Ovis aries: one gene and its partners. The protein of the gene in region 6 interacts with the protein of the main gene of each other region in a pairwise test. Links are inferred from orthologs where the notes say so. Each region holds a gene or a part of one and is shown on either strand. Other genes may lie near its edges. The genes, in order: RFC5, SSX2IP, ERCC3, PPIH, CKS1B, XIAP and NEK6.

Region 1 (4,328 bases), on a different chromosome or scaffold from region 6:
TCGATGGACGTGAGTTTGGGTGAACTCTGGGAGTTGTTGATGGACAGGGAGGCTTGGCATGCTGCAATCCATGGGGCTGCAAAGAGTTGGACACGACTGAGCGACTGAACTGAACTGAACTGAATACTTGCCAAAGAACCAAGAACACAATACTCATTGGATAGTTTCTACAAAAAATAATGTTGGAAAAACTGGATATCCATATGATAAAGAATAAGGTCATTATACTAAATGAAGTAAGTCAGACAGATGGACATTGTCATATCACAGCCCCATCTGACCCCCTTCTGACTCCCCAGGAAGGGACCAGGGTGAAGCCATAACTGTCATTTTATATTTGCCCTCTGTCCCTCTATTCTACTCCTAAAATGGGTGACAGTGTGGTAGTAGGAGGCAAGGAGCAGCTACTTCTAAATCAGAACACTTGTAATCCTGGGTCAGCCTCATCTCCTCTCAGGATTGTTGTCTTTCTCAGCATGGCAAAAAAAAAAAAACCAACAACCAACAAACAAAAAGCAGGGACTTCTCTGGTGATCCAGTAGGTAAGAATCCGAGCCTTCAAAGCAGGGGCCTGGCTTCCATTCCTGGTCAGGGAACTAAATTCCACATGCCACAGTGAAGAGACCGTGTGCTGTAACAATGATCCAACAGGCGGCAATGAAAATCTCGCGTGATACTGCGCGCCCCAACTAAAACCCAGCGCAGCCAAAACAACAGCCAAACTTTATTACGGATATAATACACACTTATTGCTGGGAACTACAGACCAGCAAAATAGAAAACATAAGTGGTTCATAATCCCCTTACCTCAGAAAAAAAATACTAACATTTTGATACCAATTCTCCTCAGCAGCTTCACGTCAGAGGGACCCTGTCCTCTTCGCTTACTAACTAGCCCTTTCCAGTTACACATATTAACCTGGAGGGAAGTTACTTATTATTTACTTTTTCCTCTCTGGAGTTGTTTCTGGAGGTCGTTCTGTAAATTTTGTTGGGTGAGGGGCATAGATTTGAGAGACAGACTGAAGTTGGAGTTGTGCTTGGAGTTGTTTTTCAGTTTGAAGTGCTCACCTCCTAGCTTTGGGGGCAAAAAGTATTTCAAGCCTTGTTTTTTATGGTATCTGTATTCAAGAACTGGTCATGTCATTTCGGGTTGTTTTACCTCAGAATTTTTTAGCGCTGGCCGCTTTCTGTTCCCTTGAAGGGTAACAGCTATAACTCTGGTGACGACTGGAATTGGCTTTGGCCGTGAGACTTTAATTTGTAATGATGATTGGTGGCTGTACGGGGTGGCCGTGCCTCTCAGGCGCGCGCTCCCTCTGGGTTCAGGACTCTGGTCTACACCAGAGAGGGGAGATCCAGCTAGAAAAGGGCGGAGCTGGGGCGAGGCGTCCGCCCGGGCCTGCCGGCAACCAGGCAACAGGGCCTTAGCAACGGGGAGGGGGCGGGACCTAGGGAGGAAGTCCGATGGCCGCTAAATCTCGCGAGAGTTGCGTTTGCGCGCTAACTCTAAGTGCGAGGGTCCCGGGGTCTGGTTGTGGCTGTTGGCGAGGTTCGGGCCTCTGGGAAACGCGACAAGCCCACCGGCCACCATCATCACCATCATCATTATGGAGACCTCAGCGCACAAGCAGCAGCAGCCTGAGGCGGCCAAGATCAGAAACCTGCCCTGGTAGGAGGGGGCCTGGCTGCTGCGGGGAAGGGGATCGGCCGCGCGCGGAGGCGGTGGCCCGAGTGAACAAGTGGCCAGTCTCCAGCCCGACCTCGCCCCGCAGTCCCCGGACTTGAGGCCGGGGTGGAGCCACAGAAGTTCACCTGCCCTCAACTCCCCAGTCCTGCTCCATTCTATTTATAACTGGCTAGGTCTCCCTTCACCCGTAACCCAGGGCCCCCTTTCCTGTTGCGGAAGAGGAAAACGGCTTCCCCACTTGGGTGACAACATGGGTTCGATCCCATGTCTTCTGACATTGCCTTGGCCTCTGTGGCAGAATATTCTCTTGACAAAATAGTCTCTTCTCTCGGTGCGATTACTGGTCACATTCTAAGCTAGAATAATGATAATGATGATGACAGCACTTCCTAGTTAACTTATATTTCAGTGACTTTGTTACACGCACCCTATTAGATGTTGGAATTTTGCAAAGACCCTGGGAAGAAGATACTGTTATTCCAGCTTTACCAAAAGGTTAAATGACTTGCTTAAGGTCTAGAGTTGGAAAATAGGTTTGGATTTGAACCCAGGTGGTCCACATTCAGAGCTTGCATTCTTAGCCAGTCTGCTTCCACAACTGTGTCTTACTGTTGTTTTAAAGACTGATAGGATTTGGCTTGATTTTGAAAAACTTATTTCTTTTCAAAAGTTTTCAAGATAATGAGTTCGGTTTGTTGTTACTATAGTAAAAATATATAACATACAATTTACAGTTGTAGCGATTTTGTAGTGCATTCAGAATGTTGTGTGATCATCCACTATCTAGTTGCAAAGTTTTTCATATACCTCAAATGGAAACAATATACCTATTGGCAGTCACTCCCCATTCCCCTCTCCCTCAGCTCCTGGCAACCACTCATCTACTTACTGTCTCTATGAATTTGCCTATTCTGGATATTTCATGTAACTTGAATCATACAATATGTAGCCTTTCATGACTGGCTTCTTAGATCAGCAGTTCATGTCCTTTTATTGCCAGTAACATTCCACTGTATGGCTATACCACCATTTATTGATCCATTCATCTGTTAATTTATATTTGGATACAGGTTCAATTTTGGATTAACGTTAGGTGCCCATCCAGGTTGAGATTATAGGCAGATAGCTGGAAAGGTGAAATGAGAGCAGTTTTTCAGGGGGGCGTGGCCACAGGGGTTAGCCTGTGCATTTCATAATGTTTAATAACTTCCCTGATGACTATCCACTAGATGCCAGTAGCACCTTCCACCCAGTTTTGACAGGGGAAAAGTCTGTAGATATTATCAAGAGTTCACTGGAGGACAGAATTGCCCCAATTGAGAACCACTGGGTTAGAGGTTTTTGTATCTCTCTTCTTTTAGTTAGGATATGTATGAAAGGACTCTTCTGCACCTAACAAAATATTCTGGCCTTTATATATGTTGTAATGCATGCTACATTGTATTTTAGGGTTGAAAAATACCGGCCACAGACACTGGATGATCTCATTTCTCATCAGGACATCTTGAGTACTAGTAAGTATCCCTGTGTCAGTGGCTGGTATCCTAGTTGAAGAACCTGGATACATTGCTTAGGGATGTGGTCTCTGCTGTGATAACCTTAAAGAATCTGACTAAGCTTTTGGGATGTGGCTCTGACAGCTGCATCCTTCAGATGTTTCATTCCTGCCCGTGCCCTGGATTTGAACACAGATGTGAAGTAGACTCAGCCCAACTCTGGCCCGCGGTGAATGAGGCGACTGAGACTGATAGCATCTGTCTTTCTCCCCCCATCTTCAGTTCAGAAGTTTATCAGTGAGGACCGCCTGCCGCACCTCCTTCTGTATGGTCCTCCAGGGACAGGAAAGACATCCACCATCCTGGCCTGTGCTAAACAGCTGTACAAAGATAAGGAATTTGGCTCCATGGTCTTGGAGGTAAATGAGAGGATTACCCTTAACTTTCAACGGACTCTGGTTTCTTATTTTTAGTTCTGCTAGTTTTGTTTTCCAACTTAGTTGCCCTGCTGGTGGTTGGGAAAGAAGCAGATATACAATATTTCAATTCACTTTTCCTATAATTGACATTTTTGCCTGGAGATTTTGGGTGTAGCTAGAGGGCAGTGGTAGGGCCAGGTGTTTTTGTTTGCTTTTGCCAGCTTTTACTCAAACACTCAGGGGTCACTTGGTTGCTAGCTGTATCCCATGTGCCCTTCTCCATGTTGCTCCACACTGTTCTTGTCCCAGAAGACTGGGCGGTGTTGCCGACAAGCTCCCTTGCCCTCTGGCTCCTATTGGGTTTGGCCAGGAGTTGGGGGAAAAATGATGCCTGGTCCAGCCCTGGGTCACCACAGACGGACAGTGTCCCCACCCACAGGGCACAGCACCCAGCATTCCCCAGGAGCCAGCATCACTCCCCCAACAACCCCTTAAGACTTGAGAGTGGTAATGGGCCCCAGTAGCCCATAAGGTATTGCATAGCTCTTGTGGTTTCTCCCACACCTCACGAGCACCTTTGAAAATATCTCTTCATTTAATTCTCTTCAAATTACCGAATTTGAGTGTGCTGTTTACTGCTGGGACACGACTGATCCACTTAGATTATGAAATTCTAAATATTGTCTATTGTTAAGAAAAAAAATGGTTTAACTTACTTTTTTT
Region 2 (3,700 bases), on a different chromosome or scaffold from region 6:
TTATTGAAGAATCCAAATAAACTTTTTGGCTAACCCAAGAGAACAGTCAGGTCTCTGTTCCCTATGGTGCATACCTTTCTAGACCTTTCTGCATTTGCAAAATACTTATTTTAAATGTCTACAAGCCATAAGTTGAATATTACTTGTTTTTTTCTATACTGTTCTTTTTTCACTCAACAGTGTATTATTTTTAGATAACCAGTTCCTGTCATTATAGATACCTAGTAGATTGATGTTGATGAGTATATCCTTAACATTTTATATTTGTTCAAGCTTGCATGTTTTTAAATCAAGAAAATTAAGACGTCTGTTAAGTAAATGCATTTTACTTAAAGAAAATTTATTCTAAATGGTCAGAAATGACAATCTCAGTGCTAATTGTCTTAAAAAGTGAAGTCAGAACAATTAAAGTATCAAAATTAGTTTACATGAGGTTTTTTTGATTTCATTTATCACTGTCTATTAGTAAATAGCAAGTATTTTTGGACCTGATATTTGTCAGATTTAATAACAGCAAGATTTGTAATCTTGCACTGATCTTTGAGGAAGTGTCAAAAGAGTATAGTTTATGAATGTTAATTTTTCTGGGAACATAGGTTTGCATTTCTAATTAGGACATCATCTTGAATGAATACAAATTACAGGTTAAATGTTGGAAATAGAATTTTGTAAGTAAGGATATCATTTAGTCCAGAAATAGCGTGAATTTTATAGTTACCACGAACTCATTACAGTTGCTTACTTAAAAAAATATTTTAGTGTTAAATAATATACCTTTTATTCTATTTTATTATAGCTAGTGGAGTTTTTAAAGGACAAAAGAAATAACTACCTTTTAGAAAACCGTTGAGATTCCAGAAAGGGAAAACCTTTCTGATTTTTAAATTTATTTCTTGATTTTTAAATATATGTCCCCAAATGCCATAAACTAAAATGGAGACTATAAGGTTTATGTCAAATTATTGGTTTTGTATTAGTTTCAAAGGTACACTTAGAAGGTTTTAATGACGAAGATGTAATCTCACGACAAGACCATGAACAAGAAACTGAAAAACTCGAGTTGGAAATTCAGCAGTGTAAAGAGATGATTAAAACTCAGCAGCAACTTTTACAGGTAAACGCAGGACACCTTTTAAAGCTGTTCTCCCCTGTGAAGGGTCAGGATTTTATTGAATCTTACTAGATTTTTGCTCCTTTATTTCGTAAGATATGTTTTACAGTCTAAGTTCTCTGCTTGCTAGCAGATAGACCACAAAGCATCATTAGTCGATGCTTTGCCTTTTAGAGTAGAAGCATTTGGGAAATGAGGCTTCTCATTTCCATTGACTTTCTGATTCTTCATCATCTCTCTCCTTGCCCTGAAGTTAGGCCTGCTTTTTTTGCTTGCTTTCATTTCAACTTGTTGGAGTGTTGCAGGGACCCTCTGGAACTTACTATGTGTTAAAATTTAATAGCAGCAGCTCGCTACTGCTTGTGATGATGACACCACTTCACTGCTACGAGACTGTTACTTGTTGGAAGAAAAGGAACGCCTCAAAGAAGAGTGGTCCCTTTTTAAAGAGCAGAAAAAGAATTTCGAGAAGGAAAGACGAAGCTTTACAGAAGCAGCTATTCGCCTAGGATTGGAGGTATTTTAAGCAATTGGCCTTCCTTGTAGAATGTTTGAAGGTCCTGGAGAAGCCTCACTAGAATGCATTGAAGTTCTTATTTTTTGTTTTTTTGCTGTACATTTCCTCAAGTATTTTACCAGTGATTTCACAAAATAGCTTGAAACGGAAGCTGTAATAGAGGTGTATCATTTTGCCTTCAGATTTGGGAATTGAAAAAAATTTTATATTGAAAAAACTAGGCCTTTGTCATGCCTTCTGGGTAGCTTTCTGCTTGCTGTTAAGAGTTTTGCTTCACGAAGGAGATTTCTTCTGGGCATCTGTCATCTCTCCGCTGTTAGTAGGTGTAAAGTCAGGAGAGAGTTCAGCCGAGAGAGTGTCTTGGGTTTTTTTTAAGGGAAGGGAGAGTACAGTACCATTGCCTTACCCAGGGATGAACTGTGTGTATGCGCTTCAGCAGCTCGCCTTTTTATTTAGTAGTGTGTTACATGCACTATTTCCCTATCCAAACCTAGAGAAGTAATGTCTGGACATGATTTAAAAAAAGAAACTCATTCCAAAAAGCTACAAGGTGTGAAAGTATCCTTCCTTCTTCTCAGTTTCATTCCTCAGAGGTACCACTATTGAAGGTTTATGATTCTTCTGGGAAAAACTATTTTAGCTTGAATAAAATTCAGCCTTTTTTCTTACAGTCAGCCTATTGACTCCCCACTATGAAACACAAGGAGTTTAGTGCCCTTACCATACCTCCCATCTACACTATTTCTCATATACATATGATTTCTCCATAATATTGTTACTTTTTTAAGCTAATTTTTAAAGAACTGTTTCTCCTGGTTGATTTTTTTACTCGGAGTAAATTTGTTTAATGCTTCCATTCCATGTTTGCTCAGCGTTAGACAGGATGGGTTTATCCCTGAAATGGAAGGTGAGGGCGTCCTTGTAGTTACCCTTGTTGCAGTGCTTTTACCCCTCGACTGCTCAGTTTTTGTCAGTGATGCTATTTTTCACTGTCAAGTGTTACCACATTTATACTCTGATTTTTAATACAAATTCAAGTGTAAGTACTTTGTCCAGGATTGCGATTTAAGAATGGAAACCAGAAAGAACATTGATAACCCTGTGATTATATGAATATTCATTCTATGGCCGAGTAATACGTTTGGACACTTTTATATAGCATTCTTTGTTGTTAAAACTGTCACGCAGAAGAGAATCTGTAGTGAATTCTGTGACTTTTTTGTGGGTGCTTGCTTTATGATTTCTGAATCAGGTTCAGCTTCTATCTCGTATTCTCTTTCTTGGGTTCCTTTTTCAATCTGTTGTATTACCTTCTTGAGTAATTTTTTCACAAGTGTGTGTGAGTGACAAATATTCTGAATTCTGGACTATCCAAAAATATATTCATACTTGATTGGTTTGCCTGGATGTAGAATTGTTTTCCAACTTTTCCTTTCAAAACTGTGAGTTATTCTGATTCTTCCATTGTTTGATTTTGCTCATGAGCAGCCTGGTTATAAAATACCCTGGGTTAATTTTAGACAGCTGTGCTGTTTTTCCCCCTCTGTGGAAGCTTTTGCAATTTTATGTTCTTAAATTAAGAGTTGTGAAATTTTACCAGGGTAGGTCTGGGTAGCTCCTTTTAACCTGAAGATGCTCTATTTCTTCAGTTCAGGGATATTTTCTTCAATTCTGTATTTTTTCCTTCTCTGACTTCTCTTGCATTCTGGAACTTCTGCTAGACAAATATTTGGCCTTCTGACTACATCTATAGATTGACTTTATGTTCCGAATTTGGGAATATTTTCTCTTTTATCTTGTGCAGCACCAACCTGGTATTCAGCAAGGTCAGTTTGATTTTTCACTTCATCCACTGAGTTTTTACTTCACAATTTATCTTTTAAGTTTTATAGTGTATTTTTTGTTTTGTGTCTCATATTATATTTTACAGATGTCTTTAAGTCTGTCTGATAATTTGTGTTATCTTAAAAAAACTTGCCTTGAGCTTTACCCATGGCCAGTTCTCTTTATTTCTCCTGGCATTTTTCTTCTATGCTATTACTTTTCTTCAAATGTCTGGTGATCCATGATTT
Region 3 (3,700 bases), on a different chromosome or scaffold from region 6:
AAGGCTCATCGGCACTCCAATCTGGCCCAAATTATTCGTAATGATCCTCAAAGCTGACACTGTTGAGGCATTTTTTTCTGCTCCAAACCTGTTTCCTTCTTTACAGAAAAGGAGGTGTGCCTACTTCAACACAAATGTGAAAAGTAAGAGACAAGTGCCAGGCCCTGTTAAAGCGCCATATATGCACCTTGTTTAAATCGTAAAAAGCAACATCTGTCAAAACAAACAATGAGTAAGAGACACTTCTACTATTGCTGTTTTAAAGATGGGAAAACTAAATCTAAGGTGTAACTGGCCCGAGACCCTGGGACAGCAGTGCTGCTAGGGTATACTGTACCCAACACATGGACTCCCTTCGGAGGGACTGAGTAAAAGATGGCTACTATGGTCACACATAAACTGGGCTGAGCACTCAGCAACATGGTCGTGTGAACAGTGCTACTGGCAAAGACACAGGAAGGTGAAACTCCAGGGGCTTCTGAGTTTACCACCGTCCACCATTAATGAAGATCAAGATTAAAAATCAAGCTGTTCCTTTAAAAAGCAATTCTTCCTTAACCAGGGATGTGCTTCAAAGTAACCCATGCAGCTTAAAAAGAAAGAAGGTGCAGGCCCCTTCCTGAGACAGTTCACCTTCTAGAGTCTGGGGCAAGGCTCCAGCTGAGTGTACTACGATTTCCGGCCAAGAACCTAGGCTAGGCCCGACATGACTCAGGACAGATGCAGAGACAGCAGCCCACCCATCTCCTTCACTCAGTCACTCACCACAAGGAAGGACAATGACCCCGGAGCGCGCGCGCCCATTCCCAAACATCTTCCGCAAACTCTTCTCCTGGTAAGGTCTAAGGACAGCTGTGGGCTTCAGGTCAATGTTGATATCAGGGTTGACAGAATCATTCCGAAAGTCGTATTCTGCCAACAGAGGGTACTCCAGGTGGATGCAACGTTTCTGGAGTTCTTCAATCATTTCCTGGAAAGTGAGCATGAAGGTTTCATAATCTTGTTAACTCCAAAGCGTGCTCAGAAGCAACACATATCCTAAGACACCTAACAATAAAAATCAAGTTTACCTAGACTTTTGCAATTTCAGATCTTGCTTGATAACAACTGGGTTTAAAGCATAGAAAAGGACCCCAAACTAAGGCAATGAACAAAATTAAATCCAATCAGCTACCAAAACACCCCAGAGACACCATTTCTCACTGATCCACCAGCAGGAAGAATGGGCACTCAGATACAACTCCATCAGGAAGAATGATGAAACAGCACACTGGAGACAGATAGGGGTTCCTTCTTCTCACACAAAGTATGGACAGTCCAGGCAGGGCCAGACCAGCTTCTGATATCAGCTTAGAGAAGCAACCAGGAGTTATGTTCACTAACCTGCTTGACTTCAAAAGATACTGTCTGTGTCTCTTCTTCCTCCTCCTCATCCTTGTCCATTTGCTCATAAAAATCAAACAGGTCTGTGGGGATGTCAGATTTACCCTGTGGATCTGTCACTCGGGAAGTGGAGGGCCCACCGCTACCTTCAGCGCTCTTAGCAATCTGGAAGAGAAAGGCAGGATGTGGACTTGCACAGAACATTTAACCCTACTGCTACCAAGCACAGTCAAAGCTGCAAGAAAGCGGCAGGACTACTAGGCTATAAATGCTGGACTAAAAGCACCTGAGGGCTACAATCCTGAATGTGTCCAACCCCTGAGGGTGACCCAGGAGCCCACATACAGCAGATTTGCTTGTGAAAGTCTCGGTGATGAGCTCGGTGGCCTCCCCCTCAGAGTTCCTCAGGCGGCACTCCCGGATCACGGCATCCTGGAGAAGATGCTGGATGACGTCAGGATGAGAGCTTTCAACGAAGTACCTGTAAAAGGGGAGGAAGCAGAAGCCTGCTGGCCGGGACAGGATTTGCGGAAGGGTCCACTTAGCATTCTTCGGATGGTCTGGGGACGGCGGCCTCTGGCCCCTCTGCACAGTCACCCTGCCCCATCCCTTTGCCGAAGCTGAGTGATGAGCTACTGGTCATGAGAGCGCACAGAAGGGCTGCGGGCAAAGCCCCACTTTGAAGACACATTAGCAGGGATCGGAGCCCCAGCTCCACTGCCAGGGGAATACAGTGGTCAGGGAGTGAACAGTTCTGGCCACACAGCTTCCCTCATTCCCTTTAGCCCCTTACTCTGGGGAGCAGTTGTTAGTGCAGAGCACAGCCCACAAACGTTAGCTTCCTGCCACTGACAGGCAGAGGGTGGAAACGCCTTGGTGGGCCTGTCACAGAGTCCCTTACCTGTTGTGCTTCAGGACCAGCTTGACTTTCCCATAGCTGACAGTACACAACTGCAGGGAGGGACAACACCAGACAGGTAAAATCAGCCACATGCAGCTCACTCAGAACAAGTCATTACCGGACGCATTTTACTACCTTTCAACTAAGTGAAGGGTTCATTTTACTTTAGGAACATCCAATGTGCAATCCTAAAGGGGTAGATCTGTCTAAATAGAGCTTTTTCTATTAGCTTCCACTTTTTTTTAGCTTTACCTGTTTTTATTTTTAACTTATTTTTAATTAAAAAACAACTGCTTTACAATATTGTGTTGGTTTTTGCCATACAACAAAAAGAATCAGCCATAGGCATACATATTGAAAAGCAGAGACATTACTTTGCCAGCAAAGGTCCATCTAGTCAAGGCTATGGTTTTTCCAGTGGTCATGTATGGATGCGAGAGTGGGACTGTGAAGAAAGCTGAGCGCCGAAGGATCGATGCTTTTGAACTGTGGTGTTGGAGAAGACTCTCGAGAGTCCCTTGGACTGCAAGGAGATCCAACCAGTCCATTCTAAAGGAGATCAGCCCTGCGATTTCTTTGGAAGGAATGATGCTAAAGCTGAAACTCCAGTACTTTGGCCACCTCATGCAAATAGTTGACTCACTGGAAAAGACTCTGATGCTGGGAGAGATTGGGGGCAGGAGGAGAAGGGGACGACGGAGGATGAGATGACTGGATGGCATCACCGACTCGATAGATGTGAGTTTGGGTGAACTCCGAGAGTTGGTGATGGACAGGGAGGCCTGGCGTGCTGCAATTCATGGGGTCACAAAGAGTCGGACATGACTGAGCGACTGAACTGAACTGAACTGAATACATATGTTTAAATATTTCTACTAATAAGGATGACTAGAAATTAATGAACTAAGTATCTAACTCAAGCTACAGGTTAAAAAACAGCACTACCCACAAAAACCCGAAAGAAACAGAAGGACAAAAATTAAAGATAAAAGTGTAAAAATGATTTTGAAGAAAACAAACTAACAGTAAAACTACTTCAAGTAAAATAAATCCAATAGAAATAATTTTTTTTCATTGAAAATAGCAGGAATTCCCTGGTGGTCCAGTGGTTAGAACTGGAGGCTCTCACTGCAGAGGGCCCACGGTTAAAGTCCTGGTCAGGGAACTAAGATCCCACATGCCCATGATGCAGGGGTGGGGTGGGGAAGTGAAAACAGCTTAAACCAGTAGTTGACATAGTCGAGAAAAGTTAAGAATAAAATACAGAGCCACTACAGAAAGTGGTGAGTGGAGACAGACTGTTTACTGCACACCTTTTGGTGCCCTTGTCTGCATGCTGAGTCCATTTCAGTCACATCTGACTCTCTGTGTAGCTTCTACTTTTTGAGAGCAAAACCTCCCTCTTGTCTGGCTAAC
Region 4 (4,468 bases), on a different chromosome or scaffold from region 6:
GCTTCTCAGAAGGTAGTTACCATCCTCTACCTGGGTGAGGGCTTTAGTTCCTGCAGCACTCAAAGATCTGTATCAGATTATTACATATATCCCATGAGGAGGGACTAAGGCTCTGTTTTATCATTGAAATACAATTTTTTTAAATTTAATTGTAGTTGATTAACAATGTTGTTAGTTTCAGGTGTACAACAAAGTGAACTAAATTTTATTTATTTATTGCTGTGCAGCAGACAGGATCTTAGTTCCCTGACCAGAGAGCAAACCCATGTGTGCTGGAAGCATAGTCTTAACCACTGACCCACCAGGGAAGTCCCTGAACTATCATTCTGTGACTGCTTTTCCTTTGTTTTTGCATTCCCTCATTAGGAACTATTTGGATCTGCTCTTTGGAACAAGATCCAGGAGGGTCAAGTCTTTCTACAAACAAGGAATCAGGTACATAAGCAAGGGTTTTATACACAGCAGTGTCCTGCCAAGGGCCGGCTGTCTCAATGCCTTTTTCTTTGGTACTCAACAACCTTGAGGGAAACAGGTGGACAAGAAAGGGAACGTTATAGATAGGTTATTCCTAAGCTTTGCAAAGGCACCCGGTTTTTACGAAGGACCCAGCTTCATTTTCATGGAGTTAAACAAGTGTGAAGCAGCTGGTGAGGTGGGGAAACCATATAATTTTGGATGGTGAATGGCATGAAGAAAATCAGTAATCTATCCAAAAGAGTGACAGAGGGCTACTTTAGATTGGGTGCAATGTTCCTGACTAATGACCTGAGATGAGACTTGACCTACAAGACCACTCCGCACCCTCATGAAGATTTAGAAGAATATTAAAGTCAGTTAACAGGCCCTAAATAGAATCCGAGTCTCCGTGACCTAGAGGAACAGGCTAGAGTCCCAGGTAGGTGGCCAGATAATGTAATGTAGGTCTTTTATGTAGCAACTGGATTTTATTCTAAATAAGGGAATCCGGGAGTGATTTATAAGCAGATTCATTTAAAAGCTCTAGCTGCTCTGCAGTAAGTGACTTGGAGATGATGAAAGCGGAAGCTTGTGGGAGAACTGGAATTAAAGTCTAGTGCCTGACTTCATGAAAGTGCTGAATATACTGAACAAGCCTTATATGCCAGGCTGTTCAAAGCGCTGAGGATAAACACGGTTTTTGCTTCCGGGCCTCCAGACTAGTGAAAAGGGGTAAGAGGCCGCACATATGATGGTTCAGACGGTCTTGGCTGCAAAGGCTGATCAGACCCTGAAGACTGCCTAGTCCAAGCCCCGTAGCCTGAGCGAGAATCATCCGTACTGCACTTACTGTATCCAAGTGAATGAGAGGCCCGTGGGCCTCGAGCGAAAAAAAAGCCGAGGATGTCCTCCGGCCTCAGCGCTCAAGGAGACTCAGGTGAGGTAACAACTTGCGACTCGTCAAAACGGAAGGAAGCCCCGGCCACCCACGCAGCGCGCAGCTTGGCATCGAAGGCAGAGAGCTTCCGGGGGCGGGGCCGACCGCCTCCCACCGCACCGCCCCCCCCCCCGGCTCTTCCTGCGCCTGCGCCGGAAATAAACACCTCCCGGCGGAGCAAGATCATAGGATCGCCGGAACCCCGCGCTCCCGACTTCTGCTTCCGGGTCAGAGGCATGGCGGTGGCAAATTCAAGCCCTGTCAATCCCGTGGTATTCTTTGATGTCAGCATTGGCGGCCAGGTGAGGTCTTGGCAGCCAGCCAGCCCGATGCCAAAGGGAACGTGCACGCGGTCTGGCAGGCAGATCACCTCCTCAGGTGTAGCAAACTCGGGAAGCCAAAAAGTGAAATTGAACCAGAACCTACCGACCTGCGGGGCGGGGGTGAGGGAGTAGGAAGAGGAGGAGTCTTGCGCATCCTAGCGCCCGGCTGGTGGAGGGACCGGGTGGAACGGAAGAGTAGGCTACGGAGGCGGAGGTGGGAGAGACCAAGCGGCATGGGGGCCCGAGGGTTCCCTGTTCGGTGAGGCCTTCACGGGCTTGGACTGGGCTTTCTGAACGTCTCTCGCCGGTTGCAGGAGGTTGGTCGTATGAAGATTGAGCTCTTTGCAGACGTTGTGCCTAAGACGGCGGAGAATTTTAGGTAAGATGATGTTCTTTGCTGGATAAACCAAACGAGAAGCTGGGCCTGTCTGTGGAATCTTCTGCCTACCTCTATCCGTTCATTCACCGTCCTTGAGATCTGACTTCTCTGGGTATCTCTCTGAATAGTCTTGACCGTCCCCTTTTCAGTTTATGTTAATCTGTATGCCTGGACGTCTGACCAGCCAGTTGGTGGGCTAGCTAGCGCCGACGTTCCCCTTCCCGCTGAGGTTAGGGACGCTCAGAGTTGTGATGCCATGGCGACTGAATCGTTCACTCTTTTCCTTTTCAGGCAGTTCTGCACAGGAGAATTCAGGTCAGTCTCTGACGTGGTTGACTTCTCTGCTTGCTCCTGAGGGCTGTCCTGAGGCTGCAGTTGAGGGTATTGGGGAATCACCGGCAGGCCTTGTATGACTGGTGACAGTAATAGAAGGTATTACTATGGGTCTGTCCTCAGTTCATTTGCCTTCTTCGTCTCTCTTCTCCCGACCATCTTTAGAAGGGTGTCTCTGGCTCGACTGTATGGTAAACGTGAAAGGCCTATGTTTACCTGTTTACCATTTCAAGTCTCTTTCTTTTTGCTTATAGAAAAGATGGGGTTCCGATAGGATACAAGGGGAGCACCTTCCACAGGTAAGGCCTTTGGCAAGCCATCCTGGGGGACTTTTAAAATTACTATTAGTATGGTTTAGAATTACTTCCTTGGGGGATTAGTCTCTTCAGAGGAAAACAAAACCATAGCATAATTCTTAGTTCTTGAGAAGGGATGCTTTTGTGAACTCAACCATTGATTTGAGGACTGAAGTGATAAACATTATATTTTGAAATTAATGTTATTCCAAACCACACAATCTTCTCCCAGCATCCTTTGTTCTCTGTTTCAGGGTCATAAAAGATTTCATGATTCAGGGTGGAGATTTTGTTAATGTAAGTACTGTTCCTTTCCTATTAAGGGCCTATAAGTTTTGTTTTTGTTGGTTGTTGTTATTGAAGCTGCTCCTCGGGGAACTGAGAACAGTAGCCAAGTTTGCTGGGGGAGGAGGTGGGAATGGGAATATCCTGTGATGGCTGCTACTCGCTGCATCACTAGATAACATATTAGCACTTTGATTGAGTCACTCACTCCAAATCTCAGTCTTTTAGGGCTGGGAACTGACTTTCCCAGCATACCTATAGGTGATCCATGACAGACCCAAATTAACTGGGCACATGGAATTTAGCTAGAAATCAGTTACAGTTAACTTTCTCTAAATGGGGGCAAGTCCCTTTCCAGTGAGTTAAATGCTTATGCCCTGATTTCCCATTCACTTCTGGTATCCCAGTGCCTCGGAAGGTGAGTTGTTATTTTTTTAATCAAGTTCATTAGTGGGCAAGAAATCAGAGAGTTCTGGAAGGATATTTTCCCTATTCACTAGGAGAACCCATTGAATTAATCCTTCATTGCTAAGCATGATTTTTCTTGCCACTGTATGCATCCCCATTTCAAGCTTCCCAACCTTGCAGGGTTCTGAATAAACCACATTTATGCTTTCTTAAACCTACGTTTGTCCATACCCACCCATTTCTGTGCATGATCTTTCTTATTAATATCATTTGGTTAGTCATGTTGCTGTTTTCTTGGATCTGGGAGACATTCTTTATCCTTTACATGTATATTTAGTTTGACTGTTAGGAGTTTTTTTAAGATTTCTATCTTTCCTACCCAGATAAGTTTACAAAGTGGCAGATTTGGGGCTGAATCCGAAACAGATATGCTTTGTATCATCTGTATGATGTTGTAAAACTGGGAAATTTTCCGGAAAGTTCTGGAGTTTTGTTTTCTCTGTTACAACTGAAAAGTAGGGGTGCACTTGGCCTGTGTTTCTCATGTAGCAACATTTGGTTGAGTCAAGTAACAGCTCCCTTTAGACAGGTATGTCCTTATTATTTCACCACAGTTCCCACCACTGGCTTCCCTTCTTTACGTCACATACTCCTATAGGCATTTAAGTTTGCAACCCCTGGCCACGACTGATTAGAGTAGGGCTTGGGGTGACCATATCCTTTTTTATTGGCAAGTAAGAAGGGCTAAGATGCTATTCTCTGTGTTCTTTCTTCCAAAGGCTTCTATACTGCTATATTGTCTTAGCAGGGATAGGACTAACTTCTTATGGGTCATTGCTAGGCACATGTGATCACTTGCTAATTGCTCTAGAGTTAGCAGTTAGTCAGCCAGAAGGCTGTCAGGGAGAAGAAATTACTCAGAGCCACCCTTAGGGCAGAAAAAATAGAATGAGCAAGACGTAGAAGCAGAATTTGAGACCTTCTAAAGTTGGACTAAGAATATTTGCTTGTTTGTTTGTTTTAATAATGTGTTTTAAAAATTTAAAAGATA
Region 5 (4,436 bases), on a different chromosome or scaffold from region 6:
GGGGAAGAAGCTGCATGTGGCTTCTCAGCTCAGCAGGGAGGAGGAGGCAAGAGAGGCGGAAAGTAGCAGGAAATGGCGAAAGCCTCAGGAATGTTTCCAGCAGGGAAGGCTGGGCAAGCAGGACCAGGAGAAATGCCCAGACTAGAACTCTGTCTGGGGGAGGGGAAGAGCCAGAGAAGTGGTGGGGCCTGAAGAGTCCCTTAAAAAAAAAAAATCAAACATCAAAAAGGACACTGTTACCTACACCCATTCCAAGCCACCGTCTTCAGGTGGTAGAAAACTTTCTCTTCTGTCACACCCACATGTCACACATCGACAAATCCACGGCCCTACCCAGCTCCCGTCGTACAGGTATGAGACAAACAGCTGTTTCTGGGGTGGAGTCGGTCCTGGGAAGGGAAACTCAGGGAGTGGGGCAGGGAATCTGTGAGCAAGTCTCCCTCCCACTCTCGTGCCAAACCCCAAGTCCAGCCCCCTTCAAGTAGGTCCACCCTTGGAAGGGGCTAAGGGAGAGGGAAAGGGCTGCCTCTAATCTCTTACTCCACAGAGTCAGAGATGTGAACTTTTGACCCTATCCAGTGGAGCCTAAGAGCTCAGGAAAACTGAGCCAAGGGCCCCAAAGAGAAAAGGAACGAGGAAGCGCAAGCAGGTGAAGTTTCTGGGATTGAAGACAAAGCTCCTGAGGCGATGACAAGGGTCCAACCGGGATAACGCTCCTGAAGGGGCGTGGCCCCTCAAGACGCGTGCACCAGAGACTCCCAGGAGGCGAGGCTTCTGGACGATCCGACGTGGATTAAGGAAGGGGCGAGGCTTCTAAAGGGGCGGAACCCTTAGGGAGGCGTGGCCTCACGAATTCGAATAGTTCTTTGAGTAGCAGGGTTCTGCCCTTTTGGGAGTTAGGCTTTTGATAGACAGGGGTTAACGGAGAATAGTCTCGAGAAGGCGGGGTTTCGGGGAATCGGAAGGACTAATGCAGGGGTTTGGAAGCATGTCTGGGGGTGGGACTTCCAGGAAAGCTGGACGACAGGGTAGGATTGGGGACAGTAAATGGAATATAAGTCGGGGTTCGGAGAGCCCCCTGAAGTTGGGAGGTGGGACTTCCGGGGAGGGGGTCGCAGAGGGCGGGACTTGTAAATGAAGACCGGAAGTAGGGTCCCGGGAGAGGGGTTCCGGGGTAGAGGAGTGGGTCACCTAAGAAGAAAAATGTCCCAACTCACCAGGACTTCATGGAGTCTCCGCACCGCACCGCGGGCCGATTTGGTTCCGGATCACGCCACTGTCTCCTCAGGTTGCCGCTCCAACTTTCTCCCCGGGCCCGGCCTCCCTGGAGAAACTTTATTGCACTCACTTCCGGCCTCACTAACCCCTGACCCTGTACCTCATTGTCCCTCCTTCACCCGTCCCTCTTTCCCGAATCAACCAATGGCAGTGCGCGGACGAGCACAGTAGCAGTGATAGCCAATAAAACGTCTATTTTTTACTTACGGCAATTCTTGAGCAATGTTCATTCCAATGAGGACTTGAGTAGAAGCAAACCTAAGCCAATCGGAGGCTTGAAGGTGGGGTTGTCCCGCCTTCCGGCAGAGGGACCAATAGAAAGCGCAGGCGGCGTGTTTGAAAGCGAGGCCAAAGAGGGTGGGAGCGCGTGCTGCTGGGAGTTGTTCGGAGGTTGGCGGCGCGGGGCTGAAGGTCCTCAGGCAGAGTGATCATGTCGCACAAACAAATTTACTATTCGGACAAATACGACGACGAGGAGTTCGAGTACCGGTTAGTGCCGGCGCGGGGGCAATATCAAGGTCGTGAGTTCTGACAACTGAGGGCACGAGAAGTTGGTAACGGGGACTGAAAACTGCAGAGTTGGCGCATGCGCGGGAGGTTAACGGGAATGGGTGTGCTGAGAGTGTGAGGCGCATGCGCGAAAGGTAGGGGGGCAATCAAAAAAAACCCCTAGAGTGATAGCGAATTTGGAAGGAGGCATGGGTGGTCGTGGTTAGAGTGTTCGAATGTTAGAATACTGACCACCCTCAGCTTTGCGGGTTTCTGGACCATTCTCTCACCTCAGTTGAGTAAACTGAACTTGCCTTCCTGAGACTGCTTGTATTACAGCCACACCGTAGAGCCTTCTGGGAGAAGGTGGCAAAGGCGAAGCTTGAATTTTCTTCGAGTCTTCAAAGTGAGGAGAGTTCTAAGAGAGCCTGAGTGTTGCTTATTAATCCATGGGAAAGGGGCGTGGTTGTCTGATTTGTTTTAGGAAGGGGGGCTTCGAGGAACTGGAATCGAGTAAAACTGACCAGAACCACTGAGGAAAGACTTAATATGGCCCTAATAGATTACCGTCAAATGTTTGAAGGGCATCTACTTGGGAAACAATTATGGAGTGTTTATAGGTTTCAGGTGTTCTGCTAAAGTACACGGATAAGCCATGGTCCCTGCTTTCAACAGACCTAAAAAATATGTGGAAATACTGACAGGCTTCAGAAAGAAGATGATAATTGGTATAATAGAGCTATGTACATGTAGGTTGTGGTGGGAGCACATAGGATTTACCAAACATGATAAAGAAAGGACTCCATACAGAGTTTGCATTTGATAAGCTCTTAAGTCCATAATTCTAGATTAGAAAATAAAGCAACACAAAGAATTTTACAAATGTTGGCATTCCACTAATCTGTAGTAAGCGTTAATAGTTAAAACAACTGGAAGCTTGGTTTTCGTGTGTTTCTTGAGCCTAGTGCAGGGCTCTGAGCCTTCTGGAGAACTTGGTGTATGCTGTCAAATAACCCTGCCTGCATTGTTTTTATGTCCGATCCTTGGGAAAAGATCCCCAGCCCTGGGATTTCACTGGTGGTCCAGTGGCTAAGATGGTAAACACCCAGTGCAGGAGACTTGGGTTCAATCCCTGGTCAGGGAAGTAGGTCCCACACGCTGCAACTACAATCCCGACCAAAAGAAAAAAAAACACTCCAGCCCTGTTTGAACCCAATTAACTCTTTTCCTCAGCTGTTCTCTACATCTGAACTAGGCTAACTAAAATTGTGTGCTTAAAATGTCTTTGCAGGGCTAGGGAGACATCACTAGTTTCATCCTCTGGAGGATGTAAGTCTTGGCAGTGATATTTGATTTAAGGAAAGGTTTGTTTTGTTTTGTTTTGTTTTGGTCTAAATAGTCCCTGGAAGCCAGTCTTTATGCCATTGGCTTATTAGGATGTAAGCTGTTTTCAGACATTTAAACCAGAATTGACTTACAGGTGGGGGGTGGGGGGGTGAAATCCCTTTTACTTAGCACAGAGAGAGCATTCAGTGCAGTGTCACTGAACATAATAATCAAGTCTGGGTCACCCCAATTCAAGTAGTAATTTCTTTGCTATAAAAGGAGACTTATCCTTGGTTAGGAAAGCATGGAGTCTCCCCCAAAGAAGTCTCGTGGCACATCCTTTCAGAGTTGAAAAATGTAACTTATGAGGATAGATTTTAAAAGAGAAGATTTTTCTATTTCATTCTTGGTGACAGGGGCGGGTAAAAAAGTCTTTATTTCACCAGCAGATAAATTCAGGTCATCTCAGATTTAGTAACCAAATGGATTATGAGAAAAATGTTTGCCTTCAGGTGTTTGTAAAATTGTAAATTGTAAAACTTAAAAAGTGAGGGGATTGTGGACATTTTATACATAGGCCATAGAAATTTATAAAAGTATAAATGTATAAATAGATATCTTTGTTGTTGTCTAGTCGCTAAGTCATGTCCAACTCTCTGCGACCGCATGGATTATAGCCTGCTAGGCTCCTCTGTCCATGGAATTCCCCACGAAAGAATACTGGAGTGGGTTGCCATTTCCTTCTCCATATATTTGATTTTATGTTCTGGCTCTTCCACACAGCACTGCCTGATAGGCCTTTCCTCTCTGAAATCACTTCTCTCTCTTCCTTACAACCCTGTTCAGAACCACCCCTAATTATTAACAGTCTGTGTGTGTGTTCTGGGGCTCCCATTATATTGTTTAAGAGTAATCAACTAGAGGACTGTAAGTGGCTATAATTTTGGCACTCATTCACGGGTGTTATTCATTAATATGTACTTTCTAATATACTTTCGTGAGAATTTACGTAACTTGGCCTGTAACTTGGGCTTTATTTCTAGCTGCCTTTGCACTACAATAAGATTTTATAAACTCCCTGCCATTACAAACTGGTTTCTCTTTTCTTGTCTGTCTTGGCTTTACCTGCTAGCCCCCTCATCTGATAGATTGTACCCAGTTCTGATACAAATTTCCCACCTTCCCACGTTTCTATTACAGGCATGTCATGTTGCCCAAGGACATAGCCAAGCTGGTCCCTAAAACTCATTTGATGTCTGAATCTGAATGGAGGAATCTTGGTGTTCAGCAGAGTCAGGGATGGGTCCATTATATGATCCATGAACCAGGTCAGTGCAATGGCT
Region 6 (4,444 bases):
ATCCCATAGACAAGGGAGCCTGGCATGCTACAGTCCATGGGGTCACAAAGAGTCAGACACAACTGAAGTGACTTAGCATGCATGCACTCAGAACTCTACTCAATGCTCTGTGGTCACTTAAATGGGGAGGAAATCTAGAAATGAAGGGATATATGTATAACTGGTTCACTTTGCTGTACAGCAGAAACTAACACAACATTGTTAAGTAACTATGCACACACGCACGCTCAGTTCCTTCAGCCGTGTCTGACTCTTTGAGACCCCATGGACTGTAGCCCACCAGGCTCCTCTGTCCATGGGGATTCTCCAGGCAAGAATACTGGAGTGGGTTGCCATTTCCTTCTCCAGGGATCGAACCCTGACCCAGGGATCGAACCCACATCTCCTGCACTGCTGGCGGATTCATTACTGGTGAAGTCCTGTAAAGCAACTAGATGCCAATACATTTTTTTTTTTAAAGAAATAGTTTAAAGAACAGTTATAAACCCTTTTGTCGGTTCAAAACCTCTGGAGCTCCCCAGGTGAAATTTGAGATTGGCGCCTTATCCTCAGAAGCGAGGAGAGACCAAAGAGGCAGACCACCCCAGACTGGTAGGAGGAGGTTTTGTAAGTTAGGAAACTTACATAGGAGGCTCATCTTGGATGGTCCCAAAACAAACCCATCTCCACACCCACCTGCCAGAATCTTAAAAGTTTACACAGAGGCCCAAACTGGGCTCAGTCACTTATTCAGTCCAGGTGGTCTCAATACCTCACTCTCTCAGAGCTCTGGCCTTGAATCACCTCTGGCTATGGGAGCAGTTGGAGAAGGCAATGGTACCCTACTCCAGTACTCCTGCCTGGAAAATCCCATGGACGGAGGAGCCTGGTGGGCTGCAGTCCATGGGGTCACTAAGAGTCGGAGACGACTGAGCGACTTCACTTTCACTTTTCACTTTCATGCATTGGAGAAGGAAATGGCAACCCACTCCAGTGTTCTTGCCTGGAGAATCCCAGGCACAGGGGAGCTTGGTGGGCTGCCGTCCATGGGGTCGCACAGAGTTGGACACGACTGAAGCAACTTAGCAGCAGCAGCATGGGAGCAGTGGGCAGAATTCCAAGCAAGCAGGGGAGGGGATAAGAAGCCTCCCATTGCTTGTCCAATCCCAGGGTCAACTGGCAGTCATTTCCTCCTGATGACCTCCTCAAACATCTTTACCCCAGATTCACCTGTTAACTTTTTACCCCATGTGCTTTATCATTTGTATGATCTACCTTTCTCTCTATCTTTTCTCCTGAACTGTTGGGGAGAATTATATATCATTGCCCTTCACCCCTAAATACTTCAGTGCATATTTCTGAAGAGTATGGTAATATTCTCTTACTTTAACCACAATCCAATTATCAACTTCAGAAATTTACATTAATACAACACTTTATTATTTTTGGCCACTCCACACAGCTTGTGAGATCTTAGCTCTCTGACCAGGGGTTGAACCCTTGCCCCCTGCAGTGGCAGGCAGAATCCTAACCATTGGACCATGAGGGAATTTCCATGATACAACACTTTAATCTATCATCCCATATTCCAATTTTAGCAGTTGACCTAATAATGTCCTTTAAGTATTCCCTTACCCCACCCCAGTACAGGAGCCTGTCTAGGGTCAGATATTGCCTTTCGTTGTCACATGGTGGAGGAGGACATTGAGTTGTGACCACCAGTTGGCTGGTAAGCTGGTCAAGGGCTACCAGTGTCAGGATTAAGGCATCTATAGTGCCAAACTTAAGGAGACACCAGTGAGTTCCACCTGGAGGAGTTTGACAGGTGAATAGGAATGAACTTAGCAGAGAAGAGAGATGAGGTCATTTGGGACAAAGGGAACAGTGGCCAGAAAGACTAGGAAGCATGAAGAGCATGGTGAGAAGTGCGATATAATCATAGTATAAGGTATTTGTTAGGGAGGGCCTGAAGATGAGACTGATAAAGTAAGTTGAGAGCAGGTGTAAATTGCCTTAGTGTTATGAGCCTGGACTGGACTTTACCCTATAGGCAGTAAAAACGTTGAAGAGTCTTTTCACATCCCGGATTGCTTGACTCACTTGGTTATCAAATTCCATCAACTCCACTTCTACACTGGCTTCCCTTGAAGTCTCCCCCCACCCCTTGAAGGGTTTTAATCAGAGGAGTAACATGATTATAATATTTTTTAATGAGGTGAAACTGGCAACATTGTATAAACTAGACTGGCAGGATGAGTGATAAGAAAGGTGAAACCTAAGTCAGGTGAGGAGGCTAATCAAGCGAGAGGTGATAAAGAACTGAATTAACAAAACAGTAGCAGGAAGGGGAAAATGTTTATGAGATATAATTAGTTAAGACTTGGGTACTGTGAGAGGGTTTCAACCTGAAATGGAACTGGAGGATTGGAAATAGAGAATCTCAGGCATGTGTCCTCAGAAGAATGGAACTTAACCAAGAGACTGATTTCCCATAAATGCCTGACTTCCAGAGGACAGAGACTTATCTCCTGACCAACAAACATCCCTCCCCATCCTCAAGCCAGTGAACTTGCTGCTTGCGCTCTGGCTGGACATCCTCCTCTTTGCACTCCTTGCCCATAAATGGAGCCCACCCTGAACCCTCAAGGGACTCACCTGTAGCTTGATACAGCTTGCATTTCTTGAATTGCAATTTCTCTGCTATTCCCAAATAAACTAAATTTCTGGTAAACTGAGGCTGTCTCCGTTTACCTTTTTATTTACGTTGACCATGTTGATTTTATACGTAGAGTCTAGAGAAGTCCAGGATGACTTTTCAGTTTCAGGCTTGAAGGACTGGGTAAGAAGAGTTGCCATTCAAGAAGTGGGGAAAATGGTAGAAATAAGTTTGAGTGGAAAAGGAAGTACAGTTTTAGACATGAGTTCAAGCTGGCCAAAGGATATCCAATTAGAAGTTTCCATGAAAAGGTTTTGAAATAATGTCTCAGTGAAACTTGGACAGCTTCCCTTTTCTGAGTTCCTTCTGCCTTCACAATCAAGATGAAATCAGGAACTTTAGGTAAAACGTTTGTTTCACCAAGTCATGTCTGGGAGTCCCCAGGGGATATTTTTAACATCCTCACGAACCTATCTTTCAGCTGTTGTTACCTTATGGCACCCACCATCCTCCTCACTTGCCTCAGCCCTCTCATTTATATCCACTGTTCAATTAAACACCTGAAGAGTGTTTCACCTTTGCCATAGCTACGTGTCCACTGTCAAAGTATAATTTTTAGAAAACTGAAAATGTGACAAGGAGAACCTACTGTATAGCATAGAGAGCTCTACTCAGTGCTCTGTGGTGACCTAAATGGGAAGGAAATCTAAAAAAAAGGGCGGATATATGTATACATATTACTGATTCACGTTGCTGTACAGCAGAAACTAATGCAACATTGTAAAGCAGCTAAACTCTAATACAAATGTTTAAAAATATGTGACATACAAAATATAGAATAAGCCCCTATAAATATTTAATTCATTAATGAGGAGACAGCAGTATGTTAAGTTGATTCAAAGGAGAATTTTGACGTCTCTGGTGGTCCAGTGGCTAAGAATTCACTTGCTAATACAGAGGAAATGGGTTCAATCCCTGGTCTGTGAAGATCCCACATGCTGGGGCAACCAAGCCCATAAGCCACAACTACTGAAGCCTCTACACCCTAGAGCTCACGCTTTGTGTCAAGAGAAGCCACTGCACAGTAATGATGACCCAGTACAACAAATAAATAAACAAAGGAGAACTTGAAAGAAAGTGCATATAGGCACTCAAAGAAATAATTATAAAGTAAAACTATGAAGTTTGATTTCAATACAATACTGTTTAATGTCCTACAGGGAAATACAACTGTTAGCTTGGAGGCTGTCATTTCTATTTGACAGAAGCATTTGCATCTCTACAAACAGTCTGCAAGTTAATAGAGACTTCAGAGAGACTTGACTGTAATCAGTAGTAAATAGTAAGTCAAGCAAAACATATTCCTCTAGACAAATAATCTTTGGGCAGCCTGTTAGACTGTGACATGGAAAGGACATCCTTTTGCCTTACTTCCAAGTTTTTCCTAATTTTCATCACACAGAACATCTGTGTCGAGTATAGGCTCCTTATATCACTGAAGCTGCAAATGATCAGGTGTCAGGGTAGTGCTCCCCTCCCACGTTATTACATCTCTGCTGGGAACCAGATCCACCAGCTTATGCCATTAGCCTTTCTCCATATAGGGCTCAAACATGTGTCTCTGAGGCTGGGCAAGGGAATCAACATCCCAGCATCTTCTGGGTACCATCTTCTTTATTTTCATGTCTCCCCAGGTGCTCATGCAAACCTCCTTTACACAGGTGTCCTGAGCAATTTGATACTGATGCAAAAAAAATATCTTTGTGTTGCCTGCCCCTCCAGGTTATGAAAAGACATGCCCAGACATGG
Region 7 (3,700 bases), on a different chromosome or scaffold from region 6:
GAGGCTGTGATCACTCAGTTCTGAGCCCAAGAACCAAACAGGCTGGCTCAGTGTGCACACGTGTACAATCCCTTACTCACGTGAGCAACACACGTGTGTTCTTGGCCACGAGTAGGGAGACAGGGGTGTGTGATCCAGACAGCCACTCCCCAGGGCTGGGGAATCAGAGTTTCAGGGATCACAACTGGGTCCAAAGTTAACCATTTAGTAAAACTTTCAAAATGTTATCTGAAGAGTATTTTAGGACCTGTGATAGCTGGAGTTAAGGATACCTCCCTACAAGCCTCTAGGCTCCCCCTTGGGACCCATCACAGCCAAGGGCCACCCCAGCGAGCATCCACAACTCCCATATGGCCACGGCACCTCACGCTCAGCCACTGCGGGGCCCCCTCTTGTCCCCACATTCAAGTCTCACATCCTGAATGTGGCATTCGAGTCCACCGTGACCTGCACGCCCATCCATGCTGCCACGGCTCCTGCAGCAGGCCCGTCTCAGCCTTCCAGATTCTGAGAGCAGGCCCTGGGCGCTGCACGACTTCCCTGGGGCCCTTGCGTCTGCCAGCGTCACTCGACGGTCACCATCTGCCGCCTGTCTGTTCTCCCTCCTGCCTGGGAATCCCTGGGTGGTGGGGTGGCGGGTGCCATGGTTGACAGTACCAGTAGCCCCACTTTACAGGAAGCTGCCAAGCAAGCTTGCTCTCTATGTGGGGAGACAGGACACCAAGTCAGTGCTGACTGTGTGCTCTCCTGTGCCAGGCCCTCTTCAGACACTATTTTATTTTAAAATTTTTTTCATTGGTTTATTTTTTGGCCATGCCACGCTGCTTGCAGGATCTCAGTTCCTCAGCCAGAGACTGAATCCAGGTCCCGGAAAGGAAATCCTGGAATCCTAACCACTAGGCCAGCAGGGAACTCCCCCGATACTATTTTATTTAATTCTCTCTATCTGCCCATATCCTGTGAGGCCAGCATTCTCTCCATTGAGCTGATGGGCAAACTGAGGCTCAGGGAGGTTAAGTCATATGCTTAAGGTCACACAGCTTGTAAACGAAGACATCAGCGTTTGAATCCAGGATCCCGGGCCTCCAAAGCCCATCCCTTTTTTTCTCCTCCATCACCTCCTAATTCTCAGGTGGAATCCTGAACCTGGGGAGGAGGGCAGAGCCCCAGGGAGAGCCACCCCTAGACCAGGGAAATAGGTCTAGTCCAGAAAGTTCTGTCATCTCTGACTCTCAGGAGACCGGAGGGGAAGCCAGCAGGAAGGCGGAAAGGATGACCATAGACACCATCCACCACCATCCCTCGCCCTGGACAGGCCCCGCAGGTCTGTCCTTCATACAACCCTGTCCAGCTCTGGTGGAACCAAGGACTTCTGCCCACAGAGGGGCAGGCACATCAGCTACTCCCGGGGGGCCCCATCCCCAGCTGTGCATCCTGCCTCCTCCCTGATGGAGGCCTGGCTAGAGTCCAAAAGGTGGACAACTCAGGGGCCCCAAGCCCCTCTAGCTCCCAGAACCTGGGGCCCTGTGCTTGGCTGTTAATTCTGCCCAGTGCCCCAGACTGGCTCGGCTCTGTCTCCCTGGCATAGAGCATCTCCTGGATGCACAAGAATGGGAGAGAAGAAGAGAACACACCTGGCTGAATATTCAGATGTGTGTGCCTCTGAGTAGAAATACAAGGGCACAAGGCTGAGAGCAAAGATGTAATGAGACCGACAGGGAGACAGACAGACAGACCGCAGTCGGACCCAATGCCCACCTCCGCTCCTTCCCCAACAGCCTGGTCCACGGCTGCCACATCCAGATCCGCAAGGGGCACGGACAGCCAGTCTTGGGGCGCCGCGAGGACTGGGCAGAGGTGAGGTGGGGTCCCCACTCAGCCACAGGAGGACAAACCAGCCACTGCCCTCCTCCAAAATACGTTGTTTCTGAATTTAAAGGGCTAAGGGGCTATGATGGTCACGACATAGCCCAGCCTGGCCCAAGGAAGCGTGGGGCTCCTGCTCGGCGCAGGGCACTCACCTTCAGGAGGCCGATCTCCTTGACACAGTCCTGCCTGGCCTTGGCGTCCATCATCTCAAATATCTTGAGTGAGAGAAGACAGAGAAAGAGTGGTTAAAACCAGCACCCAGAGCCCCAGAGGGAGCACAAGGCCCAGGACCCCAATCTGGGTTCTCACGCCTCCTTGCAGAGGGAACCCTTAGGACAATGGTTCGGATAACTGGGTGCCCATCACGTGCCAGGCGCTGTGCTGACCAATTCCCACCGAATCATCTCAGCAGCTCCTATGAGGCGGGGGTTACTGCGGCCAACTTACAGAGGAGGAGACTGAGGTCCAGAGAAGTCCTGTGACTTGCTAAGGTCATGCACCGGTAAGGGGTAGGACAGGAAATACCCTTGGAGCCTCAGTCTTCACGTCTATAAATGGGGCCAACAGCCTGACCTCACTGGGCAGTCATGTGGACCAAGTTAGAAGAAAGGGTGTAGCATGCACCCCCTGATGGCCCCCAGGACCTGTGTTCACTGCACGTGGGGCCTCCCAGCACATCCTAACTTACAGGAACAAACCAGAGGGCGACACTACAGCCGCCCCACCGCAGAACCCATCCCAGCACTAAAGACCAACACAGAGAGAACCCGGGTGAGCCCGTCCCCGGCAGACAAACGCAGAACACGGGCCTTTTCTGAACCGAGGAGCCCGTGTCCCCTCCAGCCATCCCAGGCCACGTGTGCAGCACCCAGATCCGCAAGGACAGAATCACACTGTCCGGCTCCAGGTGGGGCTTCTTTGCCCGTCTCCCCACCTCGTGACTGTGTCTGAACTGCCTTCCCTCTGCTGGGCCTCCTCTGCCCAGCCGGTTAATCTCATTCTTTAAGGTAAATGAGCAAGTCGAGGGGCTGTGGAAGCCCTGCTGGAGGACTCAAGGCCATTTCCTGCAGAAAAGAGCCATTCAGAGGGGCCCAAAGGCTCTCACGAGCAGCTTTCTCCTTGAGCTTTGCTGCATAGAATACATCTGCCTGACCCCACTCCTCCGATTAGAAGGGACTCAGAGGTTGGGCAGTAGCCCAGAGCTACCAGAGAGGGTCAGTTGGCTGCAGATCTGAGCCTCAGCTCCCACTTAGCTTCCCCCACCAGCCCTGGTAAGTTATTCATGTGTCTGCAGTTTTCCTCCTCCGAAAAATGGGGTGATAATCCCCAACCCACAAAGCCGCTATCAAGATTCTGTGAGCTCCAGCATAACGCAGGATACAGCAGGCACTCAGCATGTGCTCGTCCTTGTTTTCCTTTATGGTTCACAGGGAGCTTTCGCAAAGACCAGGCCGCCTAATTCTTCCACAGCCCCGTGAGTGAGGAGAGTGCCAGTTTCCCGGGTTTTCTTCAGGGAGTGGCAGGACTAGCCCAGGGCCACAGTGATCAGCCACCAGCCGGCTCCTGCTGTGTAGTTCTGACCCCACGGTGCTGTTGGCTCACCTGCACCTTCTTCAGAGCCACTGTCTTCCTGTCCAGCAAGCAGGTGGCCTTGTACACCTCACTGAACTGCCCTCGGCCAATCTTCTTCTCGATCTGGAAGTCGGCCAGTGAGCAGCGAAAAGACAGGGCCGTGGGGTGCCTCTGGAGGGGAAAGACAGAGGGCATCAGTGACCAGCCAGGCGGAGTGGAGGGCTGAGACCTGGGATGGGGTTTGGGGGGCGGTGCTACC

The links.
Region 1: the proteins of XIAP (region 6) and RFC5 interact in binary tests that used the Homo sapiens proteins (3 or more experiments, as listed by UniProt). The link is inferred for Ovis aries from reciprocal best matches to the Homo sapiens genes XIAP and RFC5.
Region 2: the proteins of XIAP (region 6) and SSX2IP interact in binary tests that used the Homo sapiens proteins (3 or more experiments, as listed by UniProt). The two-hybrid records come from large-scale screens. The link is inferred for Ovis aries from reciprocal best matches to the Homo sapiens genes XIAP and SSX2IP.
Region 3: the proteins of XIAP (region 6) and ERCC3 interact in binary tests that used the Homo sapiens proteins (3 or more experiments, as listed by UniProt). The two-hybrid records come from large-scale screens. The link is inferred for Ovis aries from reciprocal best matches to the Homo sapiens genes XIAP and ERCC3.
Region 4: the proteins of XIAP (region 6) and PPIH interact in binary tests that used the Homo sapiens proteins (3 or more experiments, as listed by UniProt). The two-hybrid records come from large-scale screens. The link is inferred for Ovis aries from reciprocal best matches to the Homo sapiens genes XIAP and PPIH.
Region 5: the proteins of XIAP (region 6) and CKS1B interact in a two-hybrid assay, tested with the Homo sapiens proteins (3 studies listed by BioGRID and IntAct). The two-hybrid records come from large-scale screens. The link is inferred for Ovis aries from reciprocal best matches to the Homo sapiens genes XIAP and CKS1B.
Region 7: the proteins of XIAP (region 6) and NEK6 interact in binary tests that used the Homo sapiens proteins (3 or more experiments, as listed by UniProt). The two-hybrid records come from large-scale screens. The link is inferred for Ovis aries from reciprocal best matches to the Homo sapiens genes XIAP and NEK6.

What each region holds. Positions count from the first base shown.
Region 1 is NC_056070.1:57,206,510-57,210,837, reverse strand, and holds the start of RFC5 (replication factor C subunit 5), read left to right. Parts: upstream 1-1,505; 5' UTR 1,506-1,610; coding exon 1,611-1,672; intron 1,673-3,139; coding exon 3,140-3,204; intron 3,205-3,468; coding exon 3,469-3,605; intron 3,606-4,328. UniProt on the Homo sapiens protein: Subunit of the replication factor C (RFC) complex which acts during elongation of primed DNA templates by DNA polymerases delta and epsilon, and is necessary for ATP-dependent loading of proliferating cell nuclear antigen (PCNA) onto primed DNA.
Region 2 is NC_056054.1:61,682,653-61,686,352, reverse strand, and holds part of SSX2IP (afadin- and alpha-actinin-binding protein), read left to right. Parts: intron 1-977; coding exon 978-1,114; intron 1,115-1,454; coding exon 1,455-1,628; intron 1,629-3,700. UniProt on the Homo sapiens protein: Belongs to an adhesion system, which plays a role in the organization of homotypic, interneuronal and heterotypic cell-cell adherens junctions (AJs).
Region 3 is NC_056055.1:118,229,800-118,233,499, reverse strand, and holds part of ERCC3 (general transcription and DNA repair factor IIH helicase subunit XPB), read right to left. Parts: intron 2,335-3,700; coding exon 2,285-2,334; intron 1,865-2,284; coding exon 1,729-1,864; intron 1,549-1,728; coding exon 1,384-1,548; intron 971-1,383; coding exon 766-970; intron 1-765. UniProt on the Homo sapiens protein: ATP-dependent 3'-5' DNA helicase/translocase. Binds dsDNA rather than ssDNA, unzipping it in a translocase rather than classical helicase activity. Component of the general transcription and DNA repair factor IIH (TFIIH) core complex.
Region 4 is NC_056054.1:17,161,059-17,165,526, forward strand, and holds the start of PPIH (peptidyl-prolyl cis-trans isomerase H), read left to right. Parts: upstream 1-1,605; 5' UTR 1,606-1,629; coding exon 1,630-1,695; exon of another isoform or gene 1,696-2,030; coding exon 2,031-2,095; intron 2,096-2,386; coding exon 2,387-2,410; exon of another isoform or gene 2,411-2,504; coding exon of another isoform or gene 2,505-2,527; intron 2,528-2,682; coding exon 2,683-2,727; intron 2,728-2,978; coding exon 2,979-3,021; intron 3,022-4,468. UniProt on the Homo sapiens protein: PPIase that catalyzes the cis-trans isomerization of proline imidic peptide bonds in oligopeptides and may therefore assist protein folding. Participates in pre-mRNA splicing.
Region 5 is NC_056054.1:105,196,415-105,200,850, forward strand, and holds the start of CKS1B (cyclin-dependent kinases regulatory subunit 1), read left to right. Parts: upstream 1-1,616; 5' UTR 1,617-1,708; coding exon 1,709-1,767; intron 1,768-4,293; coding exon 4,294-4,421; intron 4,422-4,436.
Region 6 is NC_056080.1:107,805,748-107,810,191, reverse strand, and holds the start of XIAP (E3 ubiquitin-protein ligase XIAP), read right to left. Parts: upstream 2,857-4,444; 5' UTR 2,635-2,856; intron 1-2,634.
Region 7 is NC_056056.1:11,509,485-11,513,184, forward strand, and holds part of NEK6 (serine/threonine-protein kinase Nek6), read right to left. Parts: intron 3,613-3,700; coding exon 3,472-3,612; intron 2,085-3,471; coding exon 2,022-2,084; intron 1-2,021. UniProt on the Homo sapiens protein: Protein kinase which plays an important role in mitotic cell cycle progression. Required for chromosome segregation at metaphase-anaphase transition, robust mitotic spindle formation and cytokinesis.